2 linked regions of the Nothobranchius furzeri genome follow. The protein of the gene in region 1 purifies or fractionates together with the protein of each later gene. This does not show direct contact. Links are inferred from orthologs where the notes say so. Each region holds a gene or a part of one and is shown in the gene's direction. Other genes may lie near its edges.

The links.
Region 2: the proteins of stk38a (region 1) and mob2a purify together in Homo sapiens (affinity purification with mass spectrometry; 7 studies listed by BioGRID and IntAct, with this or other methods). This does not show direct contact. The link is inferred for Nothobranchius furzeri from reciprocal best matches to the Homo sapiens genes STK38 and MOB2.

Annotation. Positions count from the first base shown.
Region 1 is NC_091755.1:45,349,821-45,352,424, reverse strand, and holds part of stk38a (serine/threonine-protein kinase 38), read left to right. Parts: intron 1-366; coding exon 367-428; intron 429-1,515; coding exon 1,516-1,633; intron 1,634-1,705; coding exon 1,706-1,829; intron 1,830-1,911; coding exon 1,912-2,007; intron 2,008-2,279; coding exon 2,280-2,374; intron 2,375-2,440; coding exon 2,441-2,580; 3' UTR 2,581-2,604. UniProt on the Homo sapiens protein: Serine/threonine-protein kinase that acts as a negative regulator of MAP3K1/2 signaling. Converts MAP3K2 from its phosphorylated form to its non-phosphorylated form and inhibits autophosphorylation of MAP3K2.
Region 2 is NC_091744.1:77,548,312-77,552,237, forward strand, and holds the start of mob2a (MOB kinase activator 2a), read left to right. Parts: upstream 1-1,322; 5' UTR 1,323-1,517; coding exon 1,518-1,633; intron 1,634-3,926. UniProt on the Homo sapiens protein: Stimulates the autophosphorylation and kinase activity of STK38 and STK38L.

The DNA of each region.
Region 1 (2,604 bases):
ATAAGTTTAATGCCCGATGTGTGTTTACCAGCTACTGAAGTCTCATTTCTAACTTCCTGTTATAACAATAATTATTCTTATTGATGATGGTATTAATGGTAAAGGGTATCATGCTGATGCATTTAACGCTGCTAACACTCGCCCACTTCCTCTCCGCCACGGTTCTGGTCTCACATTCCCACAAAACCTCCACTGAAGTGTTTTTTCCCAAATCGGACAAGTTTGGATGTTCTGCTGAAAACTTTGTGTTTGGTGTAAAATGCTGGAAGCGTGCAGCAGAAGTAACATGTCACCCTGTCTCACACACACACGCACACACACACACACACACACACACACACACTGAGCCGTGTGGTTTCTTTGCAGCCTTTCAGAACATGAACTCCAAGAGGAAAGCAGAAACCTGGAAGAGAAACAGGAGGCAGCTGGTGAGTCTGAGCGTATAAATACACCATGAACACACCCAGGTTCAGCTTCAAAGTAAAACTTTCATTCAGAACCAGAAGATCAGAGATGTCTAGCTAGTTTTCCTAAATGGGACGGTCAAAAGTAGCGCTGACTGACCGGTTGTTTTTGGACCGAAATTCCAATTTTAAATAACGAGATCCTGTGATCATCAAAGCTTTGCGCTCATGACAGAACCAGGATCTCTTTTAGACATCCAGGGGTTTGCCCCGCGTTACCGCGGCAACAGCCAACGCGGGGGAGGGGGTGCACCGGAGCCGAGCCTAACCCCTGGATCACATCAGCCGCGAAGGCTCGTGCTGTGCAGCCATCGTTTTGGTGTGAGCTCTCATTTTCTGCGTCAAGTCTGGCAGGAAGTCCAACCAAAACAAAAGAGGCAGGCCGGTAAATTTAACAAAATAAAGGCATTTTTCAAAGTAAAACACCACGATTCATAAAAGTGATCATTTTTGTGTATCTAAACAGACTAGAGAGATGAACACACACACACACACACACGGGCGTGGGGTGAGCAGATGCGCTCGTCGAGCATTGTCGCCTGATGTGAACAGAGGAGCAGCGCGGGAACTTTGCGAGCGATTCGATTTTTACTTGGGCCTCGGCTCCAGTGTGACCTCAGTGCGTTAGAATATTTCTGACGCTAGTTCCAACAAGCGGGTAAAACGTGTTTCATGATTTCAGACGCTTCACGAGCTCGTTGGAAAAGAATGAGTAAATTAGCTTCAGATTTTTATGACTTATATAAAATTATATATTATTCTATATTAAGAATATTGTGTTGAAACTTGATTTGAACTGAAATCGAAATTTCTCCAAGAAAAGTCGCACTTGGATCTTTTCCTAGAATGGCTCAGGCCCGGTAAAGAGGACGATGTGGGTTTCAGTCGGACGCGTTTGTGGAGTTCTGCTCTAATCCTGTTGGTGTTGGATCCATGAACCGGACCTAACCCCGCCCTTCTCCTGCTGCACACAAGGATTTATTCTAGTGAACAAGTGATTTTTAATCTGACATGAAGGTCATCTCAGCATAACCTCACGTTCCTGCTCCAGGCTTTCTCCACGGTGGGAACGCCGGACTACATCGCTCCAGAGGTCTTCATGCAGAACGGATACAACAAGCTGTGTGATTGGTGGAGCCTCGGGGTCATCATGTACGAGATGCTGATAGGTAACCAGAGGCAGCCTTCAGGAGCGCCGGGTCGGGCCGGTTCTGGTGCTAAACGTTGTGCTGGTTCTCCAGGTTACCCTCCGTTCTGCTCGGAGACGCCTCAGGAGACCTACAGGAAGGTGATGAACTGGAGAGAGACGCTGACGTTCCCTCCGGAGGTGCCCATCTCAGAGAAGGCCAAAGACCTGATTCTCAGGCAGGAAATCACCTCAGCCTTCAAAATAAATGCTCCTCAGATTTATGTACCACCCTGCAATAGCTTGGCTGTTTCTCTTCAGGTTCTGCTGTGAGGAGGAGCATCGGATCGGCGCTGTGGGGGTGGAGGAGATCAAATCCAATCCTTTCTTTGAGGGGGTGGACTACGACCACATCAGGTCAGCGCTGGGTTCTCATAACGGATCAACAGGAAGTGATGTCGTGTTTTCACTGACGGAGGCTTTGATTATTTTTAAAGGCTGATTTAAATAAGTTTCAGGCACCTCTGTGGCCGACTGCCGCCGCCACTAGACGGAAAAAAGGACCCGATTTATTTAATATCGTAGCGGCTGGCCTGTTTGGAGCCTTTGGCTGCTTTCCTCCACCCAGACTTCCTGCTGGGTGTTGATCAGATCCTGCTTTTCCTAACCCAGCGTCTGTTCTGCTCCAGGGAGAGACCTGCTGCCATTCCCATCAACATCAAAAGCATCGACGACACGTCCAACTTCGACGAGTTTCCCGACTCGGACATCCTGACGCCGACAGGTCTGCGTCCCGTTCCCGGTTAACGTGTGTCGTGTGATTCCTGAAGTCACGCGTGTTTCTGTTCAGCAGTCGCTCCCGTTTCCAACCAGACGGAAGTGGACCTGAAGAACAAGGACTGGGTCTTCATCAACTACACCTACAAACGCTTCGAGGGGCTGACGGCCCGGGGAGCCATCCCCTCCTACATGAAGTCGGCCAAGAGATGAATCCCGGCGGTTCTGGTTGTGGTG
Region 2 (3,926 bases), on another chromosome or scaffold:
ATGCAGGATGCGTAGCATTCCTTATCAACTCATTCGATCACACAGGAGGTTTAAAAATATAGAAGATATATTTCAGTTGATTTGGTATTCAAAAAGAATGATAAATGATCCGCACTTGTATAGCGCCTCTCAGAGTAAGGACTCCAAAGCGCTTTATGTTACAGTGTATCATTCATCCATTCACTCACACATTCACACGCTGGTGGGGATGAGCTACGATGTAGCCACAGCTGGCCTGGGGCGCACTGACAGAGGCGAGGCTGCCGAGCACAGGCGCCACCGGTCCCTCCGACCACCACCAGCAGGCAAGGTGGGTTAAGTGTCTTGCCCAAGGACACAACAGCAGCATTCTCTGTCCGGAGCCAGGATCGAACCTGCAACCCGATTACTGGACAACTCGCTCAACCTGTTGAGCTACTGCTGCCCCGAAACGCTCTCTGTTCCTGCTGCACAACACACACCTCTTCATACCCTAATTTAACCCCCATAAGAGGACACTTTGTTACCTTCATACACTAAATCAACACAATCTCCGTCTCATGTAGCCGCTCGCCTTAAGCCACAAAGAATCCGCCGCAGATCTCAGATCAGGTATTTCTGTTCGGCTTTAGAACGTTGACAATGAGAGGTGACGGAAGAGGAAGTGGGAATGTGTGAACTGAGCAGCCGAGTGAAGAATAAAAGACTGGATCGAGACCATAATTACAGGGGAAAGCTGAAGTTTGGCGACAGAAGTTGCAATTGTCTCATGAGTTGAACTCGGTCAGTTTTTATAACCTTTTGTTCAATTTGTTCCCAAATGCTGTTGTCTGAGCTCCTTGTTGACTATTTAATTAGAGCTTATATTTATCTTTTGCCTCAAACTGTAAAAGTTCTCAAATTATTGCTCCAAAGAAACCTCGGTGTGTGTGTTCACAGATCTGCCTTTAGCTCTCCAACGGGCTGTGTTTGATTCGCCCACTGGTTCCTCAGCCCTTCCTGCCGTGTCTGAACACGCCGTCATAACCGGACTCCAGGGTAGTTTCAGCAGCTCACCTCACAGTTTTAGCATGAACTATAATGGTACACTTATATTTTAGATGTGATTGCATATAAACTAGTGGCTGAGCTTTAGTGTTTGTTTATCCTATTTTTATTTTAAATATGTTTGGTTTTGGTTCTGATTTGTCATCTAAAGTGTTATTCATGGGTTGTTTATATTTTTATTTCTACTTATTGGCTGAATAAAAGTGTGATTTTCAGTCAACCTGTTTCTTACTCATCAGAGGATAAGACCAACTACATGGGCTGACTTCAACGTCACCAAGGCCCGCCCACTTGGTTCAAGCTCCTGCTCTGATTGGGCCAGAGTAAGGGGGGGGGTGGAGCTTCTTTAAGCTCTCCCTCAAAAGTTTTTCTTTCTCCTGTAAAGTGAGTCGGAAGCTTCCCTGAGCCGGAGCTCTGTGTCTTTGTCGGACAGGCCAAATGTAAAAGAGCTGAAGGAGAGAGTCTGACTTATTTTCTTCATGTTTTGAACTATGGTCAGAGATCACGCCTTATTTTCTTTAAAGAAGAAGGACATGCACCCTCAGAAAAATCCTAAAAACACATTAAGTTGCAAAATGGTTCTTCAGGCAGTCGGAAAAGTGCTACGGTAAAACAGTTTTCCCTTGGATCTGTATTTTAAAATAACTTTGATGTAGAGAATTTGAATGTAATACGTCATTTTTATTTTCTCCATTGTCTTAAAACATGACCTAAATATGATTCAGAGTTGTTTATATGTGACGTCTTCCACGAGTTTTCACACGTAGAAGTAAATTACTGTCTGGTGATGATGTCTCCGAGACACTCGTGCGTCCTCGTGTAGACTTTTCAGTCATTTAGGACATTTTCACTTGGAGCTCGGAGTGTTGTTGTTGTTTTTAGGCATTAAAATAACCGTGGCAGCGTTTTTTTACTCTCGTTTGACTGGTATGAAACGAGAGATCCTCCTTAAAACCAGAAGGAAATTGGTCCAGCTTTAACTCCTGAGGGAGCTCGGTGCTAATCATTTCACGTGTGTGTGGAGTGTGTTGTGGTGAAGTTGTCCTTTACCTTATTTTTTTCCAAGCAGCAGCCTACAGGGAGCATACCTTAAAACCTGTTTTGTTCTGCAACACAATGGGAGTGTTGCTGTCGATTGCGGAGGGAATATCATCCTAGCGGACGATAACGAGCATAACTTAAAGTGTTATTGGATTTTGTCGTGTCTGTTGCCAGACCTGAAGCGAGTGGAGACGAGCCTATCCACTCCTGATCAATCAGGAAGTTGAAATTTATTATTGTAAAGACTGCTCAGCCCTTAGGAAATACACTACAGAAGCCCAAGAGGGACAGTTTTTGTGCCGAAGCAGCTGCTTAGTTTGGTAGGAAGTGTCGAGAGTCTGTTTATGAAACTCCTAGCCTGTTTGGAGGCAGGTGTATATATAAAGGTAACTTGCATTAGTACGGCTCCTCTAGCTGGAGGAAAAACCTACACAACCAGATTAAACAAACACCCGTTTAGGTTTTAGAGTAGACTTTATTAATCCCACTGTGGGGAAATTCACTTGTTACAGCAGCACGTTTATCCATCATATTATCTTTTACAGCTAGATTCTCTTCATCTGTCAATAAAAGAGCCAATCGTGTTGGCATTTGCTGCATTGTTGAGCAGCAGTTTTGCACTGTGGCATCGCAGACCCCCGTGCTTGAATACGTGTGTGTTGTGATGCTGATGAGGCTCCATTATGATGCTAGCAGTGGGGAGTTCCTTCTGTACTGTGTTGGCCCTCAGAGTCAATGAATGGGATTAAGCAGGAGATTGGAAGAGGAAGATAAACAAGCCAGAGCTACTGTGGTATTGTGTTGTACTCCTACATGGCTACATTTCTCATTTACTGTATTTTTTTAACCCTCTTAAGGCAAAAATCAAGATTTTAGTTTAGTTTCTGAAACGATTCCTACAGCGACGTGGCCCAGCTGAATGTTCATCTTGTTGCTAGCCGTGTCTCTTTTTAGCCCCCGCTGCTGCTGCGGTTTTGCTCGGGTCTGCTCAGACTGCCATTTCCTCCATTTGTGGTTTTTAGGGGGAAAGAGGCTTTGGATCTTGGAAGAAACAGACGGGTCTGAAACATCCGGCTCACATCAAACCTTTTGTTTCCTACGCTTACTGATGAAAAAAGGGGAACATGTATGCGTCTGGTTTAAACGTCTAATCAGTGTGGTGGAATACTTTTTATTATGGTTTATTTCTTTTTGAGAAGAGGAACAAGTTGAAGCTAACCTCTCCAATCTCGTCATAAAGTTGCTGAGAGAACACAGCGGTTTGTTTTCATCAGCTTTTCACTGTTGGAGATCACATCGACTGCATCCATATGTTAATAGTTATTCTCTCTGCAATACAAACAAACAATTTAGGGAACTGTTGTGCAACTTCTGGCTTGGCAGGAGCCATCGGCTTCGGGGGGGGGGGGGGGGGGGGGTCATTACATGGGGTTATTAAACAGTTGTGTTTTAACATCACAGCAGGAACCAGTAAAAAACAATTGTTTTCATGCAGGAATGCTGGTGGATTCTTAATGGAGATGATGGTGAGTTATGGAAAATCGGCGTGTTTCGAGCACAGCCTCACTGAAGGGCTGATGTTTGTGCCTGAGCGGAGGAAGTGACGGCTGTTTTGTAGTAAATTGTTGTACTTCTGAGAAAGCATTTGAGCTAATTCGTTAGCGTAGCTGTGTGTGAACGAATGACCCGTACTTGTATAGCGCCTCTCAGAGTAAGGACTCCAAAGCGCTTTACACTACAGTGTTTAATTCATCCATTCACATGCACATTCACACACTGATGGTGATGATGAGCCACGATGTAGCCACAGCTGCCCTGGGGCGCACTGACAGAGGCGGTGTGTAATGCGTTCCCTTGCG